2 linked regions of the Elephas maximus indicus genome follow. The protein of the gene in region 1 interacts with the protein of each later gene in a pairwise test. Links are inferred from orthologs where the notes say so. Each region holds a gene or a part of one and is shown on either strand. Other genes may lie near its edges. The genes, in order: HOMER1 and C18H1orf116.

Region 1 (10,967 bases):
TGGTTAGCAGCCGTAGCACTTAACCACTATGCCACTAGGGTTTCCAAAAAAATAAATAAATAAACAAAATATTCCAAAGGTAGCATGAAATAACTGAAGTTACTTGATTTCTGTTGACTCGTCTGACAGCTCTGAAATAGGTAGTGACTCACTGCTCTTATTGTGAGATGCTACTTGGGGGGGGGGGTGGCAAACCAAAGGGAGGGGACCTTCTCACTGAGTTTTCCATAGACTTCATCTTACATACGTGAATGCCCTAATTTTTTATTGTCTGACACAACTTTACAAACGGATACTTCAGCTGTCTTCACTGCAATTAAAAACAGTTCATGCAGCATCCAAGATACTTTGACAGACTCTGCCAACTGTCAGTTTCAGCTGTTCTTTTCAGTTCCACCAGAGTTCATAAATTACTGTTCAGGAGCCACAGATTTTCTTCCCACCTAATCACTCATTTTCTTGAACGTAACCTCTTTTGCTTAGACTTTGCCCTTAAAATTACATTCATAATTAAGGCAAAGAAATAATTTTTACTATGAGCTAGCATCAGCCAAAAATGCATTCATTATATGTGACACTCTTCACTCACAATATTAAATTTCAGACACGTGTCAGAATAAAGTTTTAGGATTGCGTGGGTAAAAGTTTAAAGGTCATTTATAGCTCTGTTTCCTCTTGTTTTACATAGGTGCTGGCAGCTACGCTTACTCCACAAACATTTATTAGGTATAAACATCTATCAAGTTTGGAAACTTGCACAAATGCCTTCTCCTTGTGCTCTTCTAGTCCACTTCCACCTACACTTCCGCTCATTAATTCAAGACGGTACACGTCACTATCAATGAAAAGGGTCATAGCCCCTATAACGGACTTTCTGAAAAATAACGCCACAAACACTCGCTCCCTTTCCACCTCAGTCCACCTTTAAGACTTTATTAACAAAAGGCAAATAAACTAGTTTATCAGCAAATTTAATTATGCTGAAGTATCTAAATGTGTGTTACGTGTGTGCTGGGCACGGGGAGGCTTATTTTTATATTTTAAATCCTAGTCCCCTCAGTATTTAAGTTCATCTCAAGCCTTCTTGGTAAAATGATAGGCATTCATGAGGCTTAAAAAAAAAAATTTTTTTTTTTAAGGTTGTGGAAAACTGATTTTCTTCCAAGATGCTACCGCTCACAATCTAGAGAATGCAGTCTTCAACGTGAAAAACTGCCACTTGATTTTTTTGCTCCAACATATTTTAACCAGAAGAACTGCAGGTTCTCAAAAGAAGCCATATTTCAAAGGCTTTAAATAACAGTATTTTTCAGAATCCCTCCTTTAAAATTAGTGGAGTTAATCTAAAACATTTTTCAAATGCATTATTTTCCAGCTTGTTAAGGTGCTTAAAAACTCTTTACAGAAAATAACATCTCCACCTGAAAGATCTACTTTAAGAAGCCAACTAGTGATCATTAAAATGTAAGGAGAAAAAAGAAAACAATTCATTTTTATAGTTGGAAAAGTCTTTCAAACCCATCTCACATAAGTTCTTCACTTTGCAGATAAGAAGACAGTCCACAGAAGTTAAATATTTGCCTCAGAGCACTAGCCTACTAATAGCAATGCTAGAAACAGAATGAGATATTTTAATTGCTCCCAAATCATGGGAATTACATACATTCTCACCACTTGTAATTTTTTAAGAACAGTTATCACCGTTTTCCATTAATTCCTGAGGAAGAGCTCCTACAATACCCAAGCTATGAAAGTTGTTCAAATTAATTAACTTCACATTTTAACTCCAACAAAAAGGTAGTACTACCCAAAACTTCCTTTCAAAAGTCTCAAGAAGTGTGTGTACACTCCCCTAAACTATCACAAAGAAATGTGAGTCCATCCTTTCAAAATCTGCCCCTCAACCACACACACACACAGAGAGAGAGGGAGGGAGGGAGGGAGGCAGAGAAAATTCTGGAAGTTCCTCTCTGAGGGAAAGCATCAACAATCTGTCAATAAAACAAGTAGATCATTCCATTAATATGAGTTTCCAGCTTAAATTAGGAAGTCACTAGCATTTTATCAAGCTACTCGTGTGAACGAACTTAATAAAAGGTTGGAAAATGCACTCCTGATTGGATTTGGATCTGACAGAAAGGTAGATCTGACATTGTTAACACAAACGGAAAACCTGAGCTTAGAAGTAAAAAACAGAAGAAGTGAACAAGTTCCTTCGACAAAAGACTTTTTCTTATTCAAGTTCTTATTTCCTACTGACTGCACCGCACTCTGGAGACAGCTTCAGTAGACTTTCAAATTTTCATTTAAATCCCCCCAATAAATCAGTTCTAGCTTATATATATACATATATATTTTTAGCTTATATTCAAGGGCAAAACAGAGGGCACATTGAGGGCAATAATTTACACTGGATCATTTTCAAGGACTGTCGTCTAACTGCTATTTAGTTTACAATACAATCGTTCCCTTTGTGCAACTGATTATTCTCAAAGTACTGAGAGAATGCAGTACTTCTTTTTGAAAGACATCGACCAGCAACAAAACCTCAGACACGATTTTGATTACAAACTCATGCAGCAGTTTGTGGAGAATGCGTTGCCTTCTTAAATATTACTGATAAAACTATATTCCGGTTACTAACGTTATACGCGCCGTTCCTTAACTATGACCTCCCTGTGTCACTCTAAAAGAACGCACAAAATAAATTGTTAATAGGTTAACACACCTATATTTTGAAGGTGTAGCCAGCTTAGCAAGGTGGCAAATTTGTTCGAAAACACAAAACACAGACAATAACACACATACATAAACAGATTTGAAGTTGTGTTAAGCACAAAAATCCTTACCCCATTTTGCCCAGTGAAAACTTGCTCTGAAGTTTCTGCTCTTATACGGAATAACTTCCAAAGGAATTTCTCCGTTTGCTATTTCGCCGTTGCTTTTCCACCCCCCGAAGTCCTTTTCCGGAGGTATTTTAATGATGCTGACAATTTGTTTCCTTAAGTAAAATGCTTTCTCCCTCGTAAGTAAGAAATCGTTCAAATAAACTGAGGTGGCATTTGCTTATTAGAGTTAAAATGCTGCGCGGAGAAGACAACGGTCAACTCTATTCCACAAAATGAGTCTGTAGGAAAACGCGGGATCCAGCTTCACCGAGTCCTATAAAAACTGAGTTCGCTGGTCTTTTCGCTCATGTCCTCCTTGACACTCACGAAGAGCTAGGTAACTCGGCCTTTTCGGTGCTACGGGTTCAAATTTCTCCACACCAAGTCCCTGGGGGTGGAGCGTCAACCCACCGCGACGTGCACTTAAAAGATCCCTACCTGAAAATAAACATCCGAAAAGCAGTAATGCCAATGCTTCCCTACGCTCACATTAGAAAAAAATATATAGAAAAATCTCCTCGAAGTGCAAACCCGACAGCTCGCGACGTGCACGGCACTCCACATTGGAATCTGTCTTTTTAATTTTCCCCTCAAGACTCGGAGCAGAGAGGAGGTAGGGAGAAGGAAGAGAAGACTGGGCAGGATCGATTCACTCTCCCGAGGAGAATAAACGGAGCCATATCTCTACTGGCAGAAGGCTGGGGGCGCAGCGCACGCCGGGGAGCAGGGGGAGGGGACCCGATCCCACCTCCCTCAGCCCCTGCCCGCCCCCCGCCGCCGAGCACAATGGAGCCCGCCTCGCGCCCGGCCCTTCATTCGCCGCTGCCCTCTTCCCCCTCCCTTCAGAGCGCAGCGGGTCTCAGGCTCCCGTCGGCAAGGAATGAATGAATCAGAGAGCCAGGCTCCACGCTTCCAACGGCACCCTGCCCCCAGCTCCGGGGCGGGCCGAGCGGCGGCGGAGGAGGGGGCTGAAGGGTCGACGGGCGCTAATGCCGCGTCAGGGACCGGGGACCAGGGCTCCGAGCCGCGGGAGAGCCGCTGCTCCAGCGCCCTCACCCCTGCTCCTCGCCTCTCTGGCTGCGCACTGCCGCCACGCGCCGCCTCACATTCCCGGAGCCCTGCTGCCGCCTCCTCACACCTCCTTCACCACCCGCCTCCGCCGGCTTCCAGCTCCCGCTCGGCAGGACCCCGCCGGACCGAGCGGCCTGAAGCCCGCCGGTGCCTCCGCCTTCGCCCGCCGGCTTGCAGAGCGGAGGGCACCCCTTCCCCGGTCAGCACAGCCCGCAAGAGGCTAGCGCGGCGGCGGAGCGAGCTGCGGGGGGCGGAGGAGGGGGCGGGGAGAATGGGGGCGGGTGATAGTGGCCCCTCCCCCTGCTCGCAGGAGGGGCGGGAGGCGGCCGCCACCGCGGAGGCGCGGCCGGGAGCCGGGAGCTGGGGCGCAGATCTGTCCCTTGGGCCCCGAGGGGCCCTGCGGGGTGCGGGAGGGGGAGACAGCCGCGAGGGGGAGGAGAGGCTGGTGGTCAGGGGCCGAGCCAGCCCTCGTGGGGAGCTAGGCCAGCCAGTCAGCAGGTCCGTCAGTCCGTCCTTCCTTTCTTTCCCCCCTCCCCTAGCGGCCGGCGGCGGGCGGGCCGTGCGCTCTCCTCCTCCGCTGGCTCCTGGCCCCGCTCCCGGCCGCCACAGCCTCCGCCGCTCCCCACACCAGATGCTCGCGCTGTGTCTCCATCCTCCCCGCAGGAGGACCTTTAAATAGCAACGTCAGCGCGCTCCTCTCCGCACACACGTCACCCGCCGCTCACGTCACCAGAGTGCGGGGGATGATGTCACGCGGCCGGAAGCATTGCTAAATTAGGGAAGGAGCAGGGGAGGAGGACTCGGCGAGCTCTTCTGTGCCCACCTGTTCTAGCTTCTCCTTAAAGGCCAAAGTACAGGAGACAGCCCGAGAGGAGCTCCTAGAAGGAAGCGGCTGGAGGAGATTTCCTCGCAACAAATGTGCCAAATGAAGTGAATCATTCATAGCAACAGTTCCGAAGTGTCAGGGGGCGGGGGGTGATATCCTATCTCCCACTCCCACCCCTGTTGCAGCAGCATCCCCGAGCTTTTCACGTCCCAACTAGCTGGGAAATGTGGGAGGGAGAACCTGAACACTAGTGGTAGATATACTTCCAAGACTTGGGAAAATTCACCGTAATTTTCGAAAGACTTATTAAATACCAATCTATAAATTGTAGACGTTAAAACTTCTCTTTTCCCCTCTTTAGTGATTAAGTACAGAAGAATAAAGAGCCGGGCCATGAACAAAGGTTATACAGCAATGCTATAAATGATAGTAAAGGGGAAAGGACATAAAATGATATGTTTTCATTTGCAAAAAAACAATGTTTTGGCATAGGATAATGTTTCAATCTTAGAAAGTTCATTCAGATAATTATCATAGCAACCGAATCACCCGTTGCTATCAAGTCGATTCTTACTCAAAGCAATCCTGTAGGACACAGTAGAACTGCCCTATAGGGTTTCCAAGGAATAGCTGGTGGATTAGAACTGCGGACCTTTTGGTTAGCAGCCCAACGTTCAACCATTGGGCCACCAGGGCTCTTATAGCAAACGCCAGTATATTCTCACTTCCGGTGTACCAACAACGTGAGTTCCAGTTTGTGGAAATTAAAATAAGACCACTAAATCCTTTTTTGTTAACACGAGCACATTTTGATTATTTTTGTCTTCCTTAGTTTTTACCATATAATACATAGTTAAAATATTTCCTAAGTATGTTTTTCACTTCTATTCATGGCAAGGGTGAATACCCGCGTATAGGCTTATTAGCTATGTTTCTGTCTATATTACAAATGCTTTTAAAACTATAAATTACTATAAAGCTTTTACAACTTCTACCTATTAAGACTCAAATATATAACGAATTTTTGTTTAATTTGATTTAACTTGATAGTCATGGGCCGGAAAAAGAATTGCTACCTACTGTCAAAGGATATTACTATTTCAGAGTTAGTCTCTAAATTGAGTGACCATGTATTTCAAACCAAAATCAGGACACATCATATGACAATAAATGAAATACTTGAAATCCGAAGTGACCTGGAAAATCCAGGACATAGGATTACCAACCTATACAGTGATTGTTAACCCGTTGCCTTCGGGGTTTGGTTTGGTTTATGCAGATGATTAAATTCTGACTTTAATATATTTGCGAGATTTCCATATCTCACCACTTTGGTGTGATTCTTATGTCATTTTCTACTGATTTGACTCATAGGGACCCTATAGGACAGAGTAGAACTGCCCCATATAGTATCCAAGGAGCAGCTGGTGGATTCCAACTTCCAACCTTTTGGTTAGCAGCGGACCTTTTAACCCCTGTGCCACCAGGGCTCAAGTGATTGTTAAAAGAGAGTTATAAATCAATGTAGCTTAAACAAGAGAACCTAAAACTCTATAGAATTTATACCCTGTGGGGGGGGGGGACATGTTTTTAATGTTAAGCTACTCACACAATTCCTAATTAAGTAACATTGGTTTTGCAGCTTTCTGCATGTAAATATTCTTAATCAAATTAGGAACCCAAGATTAAAGAACACTGGCAAAAAAAAAAAAAAGATTAATACCAATTTGTAACTAAATCAGGCTTTCTGATCATCTTCACATTATGAAATCATGATCCCTCCCTGATTTCAGAATTTGCTTCAAGTTTGAAATGTTAAAAGTAGTGAATAGAAACATTTTTAAAAGGTTATAAAAAAAAAAGTTAATCAGAAGCAAATCCGTACTTGCCAATTCGTCTAATACATATGAACGTGTTAATAGAAACTTGTACTAACATATTTCAGACAAATGGATCTTCCTACTTACATATAAAATATTAAAAAAATAAGACCATCATTCTTCAAATAATGTCATCTCTTGGCCTCTGCAAATTAAAATAGAAATTAATTTTTTACTCTACTAAATTTTCTCTACAAACTATTTTTTCTCAGAACTGAATCACTTATCCCTCTTTCCTGCTCTTTCCCTTCATGTTAAAGTTCTCACGTTACCATTTTTCAAACACTTCATTCTACCCTTTGATCGCAACTTCCTGTGTTTTACAAACTTTTTCCTCTTAATTTTTACCCAGCTGTCAAAACAGCATGTCAGCTGCCCCCTTGCCTTTAGAATGCTGACCTTTCAATAGAATTTCCACTTTTCAAAGCTGCATGGTCCCTTCTCAGCTGCTCTTTTGTTGACTGAAAACTGAGAGTACCTTTTTTTAAAACATAAATCTAATGGTGCACTGTGATATAATTATTTAACTTTGGCCTCTGCTCTTATTGAGAAAATTCTCCAGATAATCAATCAGTTTTTGTTTCTTGTTTATGTGGGATGAGTATATAAGGGAGTATATATGTCCATGTATCCAAGATAACAAGTAAAAACTTTGAAATATTTTATGTAATATGGAAGCTCAGGAAAAAAATAAGGGAAGTGAGGTCCTATTTTCCCCTCTTGAAATAAATCCAATATAATTTTGAGAGGAGTCAGAGAACCATTCTATAACTTTCCATCTAAAAGTATTATCTTTTCTCCTAAAATGAGCTGACATAACCCAAATCCCAGACATGAATTTCCAACTCTGATTTCTTTGTATGTTTATTAAAGTAGTGAGCTTCCTAGAAAGTAATGTATTTTCTTTTACCGGAAGAGCAAAAAGTGCTTTAGCAGAGTTTCAAATTTTTAACACTTCCTGTTTCCCACTTACATTCCGAAAATTTGTAGAGAGGTTTATGAATACCCTCTGATTTTAGAATCTGTGGGCGAAGGCATCTGTTTTAGTTACAGAGTTTACTTCCATGCCCTTAATAGGAGATGGCAGTCTTCAATGGGTGTTCATAGCTTGGTCATGAGATATGTCTTTTTCAATGAAAAGACATCTAGAACATAGAAAAACTTGGCAGAAAAGAGGGTAAAAGTCGAATTTTATTTTTAATTGCTTAACATTAAATTAGATAATAGCAACTTCCTTTCAAGTTGTCTCTTTTTAATAGCCAAAACACCAGTATTGCTTCAAACAAAGTAATAAGTAAAAGGATACCGCTCCATACAATAGAAACCTCAAGATTTCTAGTTAATGCCACGTAGTTCTGAAGGAACAAAATAACCAGCAAATACTAAACGTGATGAGAAAAGAATGAAAGAGCTGTAGGGAATCAGAATTTATCAAGTTAACTCTCTCAAATCATTCCACCTCTTCCACACTGTAGCAGATATTGGGTGCCATTAAGTTATGTTTGGCCTATTTATAAAAAACATCTTTTGTTATTATCAGTAATGTTCTGAACAGAAACAGGTTAGTTAATAGTCTAAAGAGTGGAAAGGTAAGTGTCTTAATTGTCTAGTGCTGCTATAATGGAAATAAGACAAGTGGATGGCTTTAACACACAGAAGTATATTCTCTCACAGTCTAGGAGGCTAGAAGTCTGAATTCAGGGCACTAACTCCAGGGGAAGGCTTTCTCTTTCTGTCAGTTTTGGGAGAAGGTCTTTGTCATCAATCGTTCCCTGATCTAGCAGCTTCTCAGCACAGGGGCTCCAGGTCCAAAGGACACGCTGTGCTCCCAGCACGTCATTCTTGGTGGCATGAGGTCCCTCTCCTCTCTGCTTGCTTCTCTCTTTTATATCTCAAAATGTATTGGCTCAAGATATAACCTGATCCTGTAGATTGAGGAGTCTTGCCCCAATAACATAACTGCTTTTAATCCTGCCTCATTAATATCATAGCGATTGGGATTTACAGCACATATGATAATCACATCAGATCACAAAATGGTTGACAACCGCACAATACTGTGACTCATGGCCTAGCCAAATTTATACGTATTTTTGGGGGGATACAAGTCAATCCATAACAGTAAGTGTTTGGCATCTCCAAGGCAATTGCTTGAGGACAAGTTTTATCTCTCTGAGTAAGTGAATTTTATCTAATATAGGTATATATGCATTATTTTGTCACAGGAATTTGGGCATGATAGGGTGGTACCAACAGTTAATATGCTGCACTGCTAACACAAAGTTTAGGGGTTCAAGCCCACCCACAGATACCTTGGAAGGAAGGTTTGGTGATCTACTTCCAGAAAATCAGCCATCGAAAACCCTGTGGAGCTCAGTTCTACTCTGACGCATCACATTGTGTTACAGACTCTACAGTAACTTTTTAGGAAGGAGAGAGAAGTTAGAGAATTATCGTCAGGAAATATATGATATTGAGCCCATGGGAAATGATCTCACAGAACTATCTCCTACTCTGATTTTTACTGTAAATTCATTCTTTGTTTTCCAAATACTAGCAAAAAGATAAAAATATAATACAAGCCAGTGAAAGAACATACCAGAGAGTTTTTCATTAGGCACTGTGAGGAACTCATTGTATAATTACGTATGTAAATTTTAAGACATTCAGAAGAGACAGGGATATTGATGTCTTTGAAAAAATTATCTCGTTTAACTCCAGGTTTTTCGATTGTGTTTTTGATTGGTTGGTTGGTTGTTTCAAACAGCAGTTACAGAAAACATGGTGTAAAAATATGCAGCTCTGCAGACAGCTACAGTAAAGACTGTAGTAAAGCTTGAGCTGTACCTGTGCAGTTACTTAGAATGGAATGCTGTAGAAGCTGATTGCTATGGTAACCAATAATCTTTTTCCTGAAAGGGGGAACAGAGCAACCATGAGGAAAATATTTTAAATGAGCTGTTACCTTATTTTGTGATTCTTTTGGTGCCAGCTAGGAGAAAAACAACACCCAAGGTATTTAGGACAGCCGCTCTTATGAAGGGAAGTTGCCTGTTTTTTCAAAGAAATAAGAGTAAAGCAGAAATTTGGCACTATTTTAAAAAGAGGTGGGGGTTTAAGATGGCAATTGCAAACTCTCTGAAGCTGAACATAACTGATAAAGACTCTGACATGGCTAAAGCAGCAAGAAATGATAAATACCTAGATCATGTGTTAAAGGTTCCCCCAAGCGTAAGAGCTCAGAGATTTGATGCTCAACATTTGCAGTTTTTTTAGCCAAGATACTTCATAAGTTACTGATTAGGCTTTTTGGTTTCTTTTAATCTAATTCTAAACAATAATTTCTCTACAAATTAGAACAGAAATGGCAAATATATCTTTAATCAATATCTATTTTGCTATTTTAATAATGAATTCTTTTTTCCTAAAATGTGTGTACGTATGTGTTTGTGTGAGTGTTGTGTCATCTGCTAAAATCTCTCACACTTAGAATAAAATCCAAACTCTATTTCTTAGTCCAAGAGGCACTCCTCGATCTGGCTCCTACCCCCCCTCTTATCTCAGCTACCATTTCCCCCATCAGCTGCTACTCTATGTGTTCCTGTGTTATCAACTCTCTATATTTAACAAGAAGTCTGAAGGTAGGTGGTCCTGTGGTTGGTTTAGAAGGTTCAGGGTGTCATCAGGGTCCAGGATCTTTCCATCTTTTTTATTTTGCCGTCTTCATGTGTTGTCTCTTACACTTGGCTTCTTGTCTCATTGTTGTTAGAAGACTATTGCATTTCCAGGTATCATCTCCTCACAAATAGCATACTAAACAGGAAGGGGGGAAGGAGATTACAGAATTTTCTTCTTCATGCCTCTCTCTCACCCATTGTGGTCGAGTCAATTCTGACTCAAAAGGACCCTACAGGACAGAGTAGAACTGCCCCACTGTTTCCATGGCTGTAAATCTTTACAGAAGCAGACTGCCACATCTTTCTCCCTTGGAGTGGGTGATGGGTTCAAACTGCCAATCTTTCAGTTAGCAGCTGAGCACTTAACCACTGTGCCACCAGGGCTTCTTTGCCTCTCTCTTACCAGGGAGAAAAGCTTCCAAGAGGCCCCTAGAAGCCCCACCCCCCATGACTCATTGGCTAGACTGGGTCACATGCCCATCCTAAATCAATTACTGACAGTTTGGAACAGGATGTTCATGATTGGCAAATGATGGTTCATCCCTTGTGTCTGCACATTGTGACCGAACAAATTTAGAACTCTCTCAGCAAGAAGGAGCAATGGCTGTTGGGTATACTGCACAAA
Region 2 (10,641 bases), on another chromosome or scaffold:
TGCTATCAGAGTCAACATCATCAACACCATCACTACAAACCACCACCACAACCACCATCACCTCCCTAGCCTGGGAGACATGTTCGTGGCACCTGGAATGGTTAACATAAACTCAATCTCCTTCTTGCGTATCACCCTCTCTGTTATTGCACTTACTCCCAGTGAGGTTCCCCAGCCTGTTTCAAACAAGAGAAACACGCTATGTAGCTTCCCCTCCCCCCCCAACTCCAACTCCAAAGGGAAAAAACTTTCAAGTTGACTGTGACAGAAGTAGTAGCAGCTGATAAGGCAGTGCTATCTTTCCTCTAAAAGTCCTAAGCATTTTCATATGCCTGTTTGTGGGAAACACTCCACTAGAGTTGGGCAGGCCAGGGATGATTCTCTTAGGCACAGCTGGTATTTGAACATAGTTTGCCTGATTGTGAATCCATATCCTCCCCATACCAAAAAAAAAACCCAAACCTGTTGCCGTCGAGTTGATTCCGACTCATAGCGACCCTGTAGGACAGAGTAGTACTGCCCCATAGAGTTTCTAAGGAGTGCCTGGTGGATTCAAATTGCTGACCTTTTGGTTAGCAGTCGTAGCTCTAACCACTACACAACCAGGGTTTCCATCTTCCCCGTAATACCATGTTATATTTTCCGACACCTCTCCCCCATCTCCATACTGGGTAAAATGTCCTAGAAAACGTGCTCTATTTGAGATCTGGGTGCTTGGATACATGGGCAGGTATCTCTTTGGATTCTGCAAGAATTTCTTCTAGTGCCACAGTCAGGTTTGGGCCAGGTTGGGTGAGTCAGCCTGCCAATCATACAGAGCTGGCAAGCACAAGCCCACATGGCGCTCCTCTCGTGCTTGGGAGGAGTCCCTCAAGAGGGGCAGGTAGGGAGGGGCAGGGTACCGGGGAAGGAAGAGGGAAGATTCCTGGTGAACCAGACATCTGTGGGAGGGGCCAGAGGAGGCAGAGACATCAAAAAAATCCAACGATAAATCAACTTTGGGTGAGATATCTCTTAGGGCTCCTTGGTGAAGTTAGTCCCCCTTCACCCTCCACCCCACAAAAAAAAACAAACCTACTAATTTGGGTCTGGGACTACCGTCAAGTTAATTTTGACTCATAGCGGCCCCATAGGGTTTCCAAGGCTGTAAATCTCTACAGAAGCAGACTGCCACATCTTTCTCCCACGGAGGTGCTGGGGGTTTAGAACTGCCAACCTTTTGGTTAGCAGTCAATTGCTTTAACCACTGTGCATATCCAAACATTGAGAGGAATTTGAGAGGTCACGTGGATAAAGGTCAGTCATTCCAGCTATTCACTTCATTTACAACTGCCCATTCTAAACATTTTATAGGGCTGAGGCCACGACAGCAAAGGAGATCCATCTCATAGGCCAGACGTACAGAAGGCCTTCACACAATGCTGGGTGATTAACTTCTCATCCATTTTAGTGCCTATTGGGTTGAGCTGTTGGAAGGCTTTTTCTTGGCTTCTAACTTACCACTGCAATTTTTCCTTAAATGTTTTATTTCTCAGATAATATGTGACTCAAGAAACTTGGGCAATGTTTTCAGTTAGACTAACATTTATGAACACGTAAGAGACACTGAGGGTGAAAAACTGTACGAGACAAACGCCTTGTTTTCAAGAAGCCAGTGTAGATCCAAGGGTCTAGTTTTCAGACCTAGTTTTCTTATCTATAAAATTGGGGCAGTAGGTATTTAAAGTGACTCACTGTAATTAATGTAATACTCTCTCTGCATGGGTGAGAAGATGCTGCCTCTTCTTTTCACAGAAAATCACTACCCTTGCTCTTCTGAGTACGCTTCAGACTTCATAGTGCTTTGCTAGCCTCTCCTTCCTTCCAGGGAAGCCTGTCTTACTCTCACTTCAGGAAACCCTCTAGCAGAGCCCAAAACAGCAAGAAGAGATAAAAACAACAGGAATAGCACTGCTTCCAAAGAGCATAGCATGCTATGGCTCACAGATACGCTAATCAGGTCTTCATAATAACCTGCAGCATAGGCAGGATGTGACATTTCCTTCATTTTACAGTTGAGAAAGCTGGGGGTCTTTCCACTACCTCTTCCTAAAGGAAGTAGGAATGACCTTTAACAGCATGCAAAAGGCAACCTGTGGATCCGGGACCTCCAGAGGGCATCTCAAGGACTGTCCAGATGCAAGAGTGGCATGTACCCAAAGAAGTGTCATTGGCTACCCCGATGAAATTCTGAAAGCCCTGAAATCATCCTCTCCTTCCCCTTCATACCTTAACTTCTGTGAGTTATCCAGCTTAGTCGTATGCTTCCAGGCCAATTTATTGCCCAGTAACAGACAGATATTTCCAAAGACTAAAGAAATGACACCCAACGCCACTGAAGATCATGTCACCAGGCACTACATAATCACCGCAGAGATGAATCTGAATCTGAAATCAAAGACGAGTGAGCCCTGGGGCGCTCGCACTTCATCTCCACACCAAATTTTCTGACCCAAAGAGTTTGGAATATTAAAGAGAAAAAAAAAAATTCTCTTCTTCCCACCCTTCTACCCAGCTTGGCTTCATTTCTTTCCAACAACTTTACAACTTTGAAACTTGGGAGCTTTTTCAGGGTAGTCATTGAAACCTGAGATATTTCTATCTGATAAGAAGCCCGAGAAACAAGCAAAACACTCAAGGTGAGAGCTTGGTATCTTTTAACCCTCGACCTCTTTTGGAGGCTTGAAGGGTGGAGGGAATTGGTTAAGAAACATGCACAGCCTATCATCAGGACCACCCGTTCAAAGCTGCGTTAAATATTAACTACTCCACTGAAACCAGCCAAGCCTTGGAGGTGAGTAAATAATGTGGAGTTCTGGCATCTAGAGGGGGCGGGGTGAGGAGTGGACTCCAGTCCCATTCCAGTTCGGCTTCTTGGTACCTTCTAAACAGACCCAGAGCCCACTGTCACTCTCCTCCCAGTAGCCCACACCTAAGTCCCCCAAGAACACAGTCTCTCTCCCAGTAGTCAAAGAGGTTTCCTGATTCTCTCTGACCAGGATCTGCTTTCTGCTGACTACCCAGAAATGCACCTAGGCTAGGGCTGGAGAGCATTCTAAGAAAAACACCAGGGGACGGCTGCCTATGTGTCCCTTGCCACGTGCATGCGGACAAGTTTCTGTGTGTGTTTAGACAACATTATAATCTCCTGTTTTACCAGTGAGTTTGAGGGAAGGGGTGAGTAGAAATACCCTCTGCACAGAAAAGCTTTGGTAGGCACTACAGATGATCTTCATTGTGACAAGGTCACCATCTACCACAGGTCTCACAGTGAGTGAGAGGGCTGGCCCTGTGGTGGGGGGGGTGGGTAGGCTAAAGCCTAGAGCTCCAGTGTTGGCATGTGCCAGGCTCTGGGAGCCTGGCACTGGGTCCTCCCTCTTCTCTCTGCCCTGTGGCAGGAGGAAAAGTGGCGAAGTTAGGGACCAGAGTGTTAATTCCAAGGTAGATAACAGGGAAAGCTGACTTGCTGCTCTGACTTTTACATCCAGCTTCCTTGTGCAGGTAAACCTGCCAATACATATTGCCAATTGGGACAACTGAGGGGAAACCAAATAAAACCCTTACATTGGTCTGTTCTCCTCTCTGTGGACTGTGCCACCCACTTTGGACTGAGCCCCACTCAGAACTCTGACCAGACTCGACATGCTACCGCGAAACATTAATGTGGGTGAGGCTCCAGCCAGCCAGCTAACTTTCTGTTTGCCAGTCTCTGTATCTATTAACAGGCAAAGTTGGAAAATTGAGTTGAACCCAAATAAACTTGATTTTACAACTAGATTACCCATGGTGTTTCCAGTAGGAGCTGGTGGCCTGAGTGGGGGTTCTCCTAATGTGCCTAAAACTCACATCCCTCACAAACAATCTAGCCCAGGGCACACCTTACACACTTGCCCACAAAGCTCCATTATCAAGCTACCATGATTGAACATACACACACTGCACCCTTTATTTAAATAAAGATAGACATCTAGTTGATAAAGCCATGGAAGAATTTCCTGTTATAAATGCAATGGAGGACCAAGGAGGGAACATTCTACTTATTTGGACCGTCTCCCACTTTGACTCCCTCCACTCCAACTATTTTCTTTCAAAGTCACAGCCCCACTTCAGTTGCTCAGAGGGGGACATTTCCCAAACACACTTTTATTTCCTGTCCATGTTGTCCGCACAGTATGCATATCCAATGTAAAGAGGCAAATGAAAAAGATGTGTCTTGGCCCTAGTCTCCAGAAAAATACTGCAACCTCATGAAGCTACCAGCCTACCCCAATCCCACACTAAACACAAAGAGTTGAGGAACAGAGAGGAAAGCCCCCTTGCTGGGATAAAGAGTAGGGGGACCCTCGCAATCCTGGAGCTCTGACTTTCCACAGACCCCTCCTCTTGCTGCAGAATAAGCAGTAGTTAGTGACTGACTCACCTGCACTTGGTGGGCAGCTGACGAGAGGAAAGGAATAGCCCTTTATTTCAAAGGGCAGAGACCGGACAGAGCCTGCTTCCCCTGCCTCCTACTGTTTTCTTCCTTTGACCTCCTCCTGACTTACCTAGACAGGTAAATGCTTCATTTGGACTGCCTCACTCCACCCTGCCACTGCCTCTCATCCAATCCCAGCCTCCCCTCCCTACTTCTCATTCCAGCTGTTTCTCCAGGTAGGGCGTGGGAGGGGAATGGGCAAGGCAGTACTGCTCTCACCTAACCAATCCTCTCTTGCCCTACCCTTCTTCTTCCTTAGAGCCAATAATGAGCCCGTAAAAAAAGGAGGGCTGGAGCACTGAGGGACAGGTTTGAACTGGTACTGGAAGACGGCAGGGTTGGCAGGAAGGGGCTAGGCAAAAACATAGTTATTTGTTATTACTTAAAGGAGCACATCCATTGGGCAGCATGCGTTTCTGTGGGCCTGTTCCACTAGGAACTAAGTAACCCAAACCGAACTCTCTTTCGTCAAGTTGATTCCGACTCATGGTGACCCTATAGAATAGAGTAGAACTGCCCCATATGGCTTCCAAGGAGCGGCTGGTGGATTCAAACTGCCGACCTTTTGGTTAGCAGCTAAATGCTTAACAACTGTGCCACCAGGGCTCCAGGAATTAAGTATTCTCCTGAATTCCCCAAGTTAAAATCCTTTGTGGCCAGTTTCTGCTTTTCTAGCTAAGCAGAATCACTTTCATCTCCAAGGCTTCTGCTGTCTTGAGGAGGGTGTCTTACAGCTAGGAATGTGTTAGCTGAGATACTCGCACCCCACTGCTGGCCAACGACCTTCTTGGTCTCATTTATTTCTGGGGAAAATGAAACTATTTTTCCCCCAGGTGGTCCCTGCCCTGATAATAAAGTGACCAGCAGCCGCAAGGGAGGGAACATATACCCTGTCATTTGGGTCTCCCGTCTCTTTTAGCTGTTCTAGGAAGGGGCAATGAGCATTAAGAAATAAAAACAAAATAGCAACCAACTAGCTGAGCAACTCTTGTCTCCTTCCATGGGCAGATTTTTGGCAGCTGTAGTTAAAACAACCTGAAGAGAGCAGGGCGAATCTCAGTCAGCTTGAGGTAGAATAACTCAGTGCTTTCAGGAAACAATCTCCCGCCAGATATTGGCTACTCTTCCTAGATATGATTTTTGCCTGGAAGTTGGTTTCTCCTCAAGGTAGGCTATACTTGATACCTACCAACTTTTTTTTTTTTTATTGTTTTTTAGGTGAAAGTTTACATCACAATTAGTTTTTCGTTAAAAAGGTACACACGAATTGTTTTATGACATTGGTTGCAATCCCCGCAGTGTGTCAGCACTCTCCCCCTTTCCCTTTCCACCCTGGGTTCTCCATGTCCATTCATCCAGTTTTCCTGTCCCTTTCTGCCTTCTCATCTTTACTTTTGGGCAGGTATTGCACATTTACTCTCGTATACTTGATTGAACTAAGAAGAACATCCCTAGCGTGTGTTATTGTTTGTTTTATAGACTTGTCTAATCTTTGGTTGAAAGGTGGACCTCAGGAGGGGCTTCAGTTCTGAGTTAGCAGGGTGCCCAGGGGCCATAATCTTAGGGGTTCCTCCAGTCTCTGTCAGACCAGGTCGTCTGGTCTTTTTTGTGAATTTGAATTTTGTTCTACATTTTTCTACCTCTCTGTCCAGGACCTTCTACTGCAATCCCTGTCAGAGAGGTTGGTGGTCATAGCCAGGATACCACCTGGTTCATCTGGACTCAGGTTGGTGGGGGCTGTGGTTATATAGTCCATTAGTCCTTTGGACTAATATTTTCCTTCTGTCTTTTGTTTTCTTCGTTCTCCTTTGCTCTGAATGTGATGGGACCAATAGATGTATCTTAGATGGCCACTCACATTCTTTTAAGACCCCAGACACTACTCACCAAATAGGATGTAGAACATTTTCTTTATGAACTATATTTTGCCTGTTGACCTAGATGTCCCCTGGGACCATGTCGTCCAGCCCTCAGTCCCAGTAACTTGGTCCCTCAAGGTGTTTGGGTATGTTTAGGTGGCCTCTATGACTTTGCCTTGTTCAAGTAGTACTGACTTCCCCTATATTGTGTGTTGTCTTCCCCTTCATCAAAGCTAACACTTGTCTACTATCTAGTTAGTGATGTCCCCTCCGACCCTCCCCTCCCTCATAATTGCCAAAATTCTTTTTTCGTTTATAAGCTTTTTCTTGAGTTTTTATAATAGTGGTCTCATACAATAGTTGTCCTTTTGTAATTGACTTATTTCATTCAGCATAACGGCCTCCAGATTCATCCATGTTGTAAGATGTTTCATGGATTCATCATTGTCCTTCATTGTTGTGTAGTATTGCATTGTGTGTATGCACCATAATTTGTTTATCCATTCATCTGTTGATGAGCACTTAGGTTGTTTCCATCTTTTTGCTACTGTGTATGGTGCTGCAATGAACATGGCTGGTGTGCATATGTCTCTTCGTGAGATGACTCTTATTTCTCTAGGATATATTCCTAAGAGTGAGATTGCTGGATCATATGGTGTTTCTATTTCTAGCTTTTTAAGGAGGCACCATATCGTTTTCCATAGTGGTTATACCATTTTACATTCCCACCAGCAGTGATTAAGAGTCCCAATCTCCCCACAACCTCTCCAACGTTTGTTATTTTCTGTTTTTTTAATTAGTGCCAGTAATGTTGGGGTGCCATGGCATCTGATTATTGTTTTAATTTGCATTTCTCTAGTAGCTTTTTTTAATAGCTAGTGATCACGAGCATTTCCTCAGGTGTCTGTTACCTGCTGCCTGAATGTCTTATTTGGTGAAGTTGTCTGATCATATCTTTTGCCCATTTTTTAATTGGATCATTTGCCTTTTTGTTATTGATGTGTTGAAGTATTCTGCAGATTTTAGAGATTAGACCTTTGTCAGATGTACCATAGCCCCCAATTTTTCCCAGCCTGTGGGTTCTTTTTTTACTCCTTTGCTGAAGTCTTTTGATAAGCATAAGTGTTTAATTTTTAGATGATGCTAGTTATCTAGCTTATCTGTTTGTGTATTGTTAGTTATGTGTTATATTTATGTCACGTATTAGGGCCCCAGCATTGTCCCCAAGTTTTTTTTTCCATGATCTTTTTTTTTTTTTTTTTTTTATCATTTTAGGTTTTATATTTAGGTCTTTGATCCATTTTGTGTTAGTTTCTGTGTATGGTGTGAGGTATGGGTCCTATTTAATTTTTTTTTACAGATGGACATCCAGCTATGCCAGCACCATTTGTTAAAAAGGCTGTCTTTTCTCCATTTAATGGGCTTTGGTCCTTTGTCAAAAATCAGCTCATTATAAGTGGGTGGATTTACATCTGGGTTCTTGATTCTGTTCCATTGGTCTACGTGTCTGCCATTGTCCCAGTACCAGGTAGTTTTGACTACTGTGGTGGTATAGTAGATTCTGAGATCGGTAGTGTGAGGCCTCCTACTTTGCCGTTCTTCTTCAGTGATTCTTTGCTTATCCCGGGCCTCTTTCCTTTCCATATAAAGTTGGTGATTAGTTTTTCCATCTCATTAAAGAATGCTGTTGGTATTTGGATTGGGATTGCATTATATCTGTAGATCACTTTGGGTAGAATTGACATTTTCACAATGTTGAGTCCACCTATCCATGAGCATGGTATGTTTTTCCATTTAAGTAGATTACTTTTGGTTTCTTCCAGTAGTGTGTTGTTGTTTTCTTTGTATAGGTCTTTTGTGTCCCTGGTTAGATTTATTCCTAAGCATTTTATCTTTTCAGGGGCTATTATAAGTGGTATTATTTTCCTGATTTCCTTTTCAAAGTTGTTTTTGCTGGTGTATAGGAATCCAACTGATCTTTGCATGTTGATCTTGTATCCTGCTTCTCTGCTGAATTTTCTATTAGCTCCAGTAGTTTTCTTGTGGAATGTTTGGGGTTCTGTATGTATAGGATCATATTATCTGTGAATAGGGATAGTTTTATTTCTTCCTTTCCAATTTGGATGCTCTTTATTTATTTTTATTGCCTTATCGCTCTAGCTAGGACTTTCAGCATAATGTTAAATAGGAGTGGTGATAAAGGGCATCCTTGTCTTGTTCCCACTCTCAGGGGAAATACTTTCAGCCTCTCTCCATTGAGAATGAAGTTGGCTGTTGGTTTTGTATATTAAAGAAAAAAAAATTGTCATCAAGCCTATTCTGACTCATAGTGACCCTATGGGACAGAGTAGAACCAACTCATAGGATTTCCAAGGAGCGGCTGGTAGATTCAAACTGCTGACCTTTTGGTTAGCAGCTGAGCTCTTAACCTTCTATTTTATTAAGACTTTTTTTTTTTTTTTAAATCAGGAATGGGTGTTGGACTTTATCAAATGCTTTACTGTACCCATTGAGATGTTCATGTGATTCTTTTCTTTTGTTCTGTTTATGTGGTCGATTACATTGATTTTCTAATGTTGAACTATCCTGGTGTATATGGTATGATACCTATCAACTTTTAAGGTACTCTACTTACTCACATTAAAGGGGCAGGAAGAAGATTTAAAGTTAATAATAAATGCAATAATTTCCAAATTTTATTATGTTTTTACTTTTTTGCTAGGTATTTTGCTAGGCACTTGCATGTATCATTTCATTGAATCTTGAACTTTTAATATAAACTTAATATTAACATTTAATATCAACTTTGAAAAGTAGGCACTATTACTACCTAAATTTTATAGGTGAGGAAATGGGGGCACAGAAAGGTTAAATAACTTGCCCAAGAACAAGTAGCCAGGAAGTGACAGGGCAGTAGTTTCAATTCAGGCAGCCTGACATCAGAATGATGCCAATCTGCCTGTTTTGGAGAAAATGGAACATGACATGCACAGATAATTTGTAGGTCTAATTCTAACCATTAAGGGGCCTTGGTGGTGCAGTAGTTAAGCATTCAGTTGCTAACCAAAAGTTGGCAGTTTAAACCCACCTGGCACCTCTGTGGGAGAAAGACCTAGTGATCTGCTGCCATAAAGATTCAAAACCAAACACTTTGCCATCAAGTCAATTCTGACTCATAGTGACAGTATAGGACAGAGTAGAACTACCCCATAGGATTTCCAAGGCTATAAACTTTACAGAGGATTTTTGTTCTCTTTATGTCAAGGTATACTTCATACTGAAAGCTATGGTCTTTGATCTTCATCAGTAAGTGTTTCAAGTCCTCTTCACTTTCAGCATGCAAAGTTGTATCATCTACATATTGCAGGTTGTTAATGAGTCTCCCTCCAATCCTGATGCTGCGTTCTTCTTCATATGGTCCAGATTCTAGGATTATTTGCTCAGTCTACAGGTCAAATACTTATAGTGAAAAGATTCAACCCTGGCATATACCTTTCCTGATTTTAAACCATATGGTATCCCCTTGTTCTGTTCAAACAACTGCCTCTTACAGGTTCCGCAAGAGCACAATTAAGTGTTCTGGAATTTCTATTCTTCACAATATTCTCCATAATTTGTTATGATTCACACAGTCGAATGCCTTTGCGTAGTCAATAAAACACAGGTAAACAAAAATACTCACAAATGGACCAATAAGCAACATCATGATAAACGGAGAAAAAATTGAAGTTGTCAAGGCTTTTGTTTTACTTGGATCCACAATCAACACTCATGGAAGCAGCAGTCAGGAGATCAAATGACACATTGCATTGGGCAATTCTGCCGCAAAAGACCTCTTTAAAGTGTTAAAAAGTAAAGATGTCACTTTGAGGACTAAGGTGCGCCTGACCCAAGCCACAGCATTTACAATTGCCTCATATTCATACAAAAGCTGAACAATGAATAAGGAAGACCAAAGAAGAATTGACGCCTTTGAATTATGGTGTTGGTGAAGAATATCGAATATACCATGGACTGTCAAAAAAAAAAAAGAATAAATCTGCCATGGAAGAAGTACAATCAGAGTGCTCCTTAGAAATGAGAATGCCGAGACTTCATCTCACGTAATTTGTACCTGTTATCAGGAGGGACCAGTCCCTGGAGAGGGACATCATGCTTGATAAAGTAGAAGGTCAGCGAAAAAGAAGAAGACTCTCAACAAGATGGATTGACACAGTGGCTGCAACAATGGGCTCAAACAGCAGTGATTGCGAGTATGGTGCAGGATCG

Evidence for each region.
Region 2: the proteins of HOMER1 (region 1) and C18H1orf116 interact in binary tests that used the Homo sapiens proteins (3 or more experiments, as listed by UniProt). The link is inferred for Elephas maximus indicus from reciprocal best matches to the Homo sapiens genes HOMER1 and C1orf116.

The regions. Positions count from the first base shown.
Region 1 is NC_064820.1:84,490,797-84,501,763, forward strand, and holds the start of HOMER1 (homer protein homolog 1), read right to left. Parts: upstream 4,606-10,967; 5' UTR 2,855-4,605; coding exon 2,850-2,854; intron 1-2,849. UniProt on the Homo sapiens protein: Postsynaptic density scaffolding protein. Binds and cross-links cytoplasmic regions of GRM1, GRM5, ITPR1, DNM3, RYR1, RYR2, SHANK1 and SHANK3.
Region 2 is NC_064836.1:16,878,602-16,889,242, forward strand, and holds the start of C18H1orf116 (specifically androgen-regulated gene protein), read right to left. Parts: upstream 4,656-10,641; 5' UTR 4,460-4,655; intron 1-4,459. UniProt on the Homo sapiens protein: Putative androgen-specific receptor.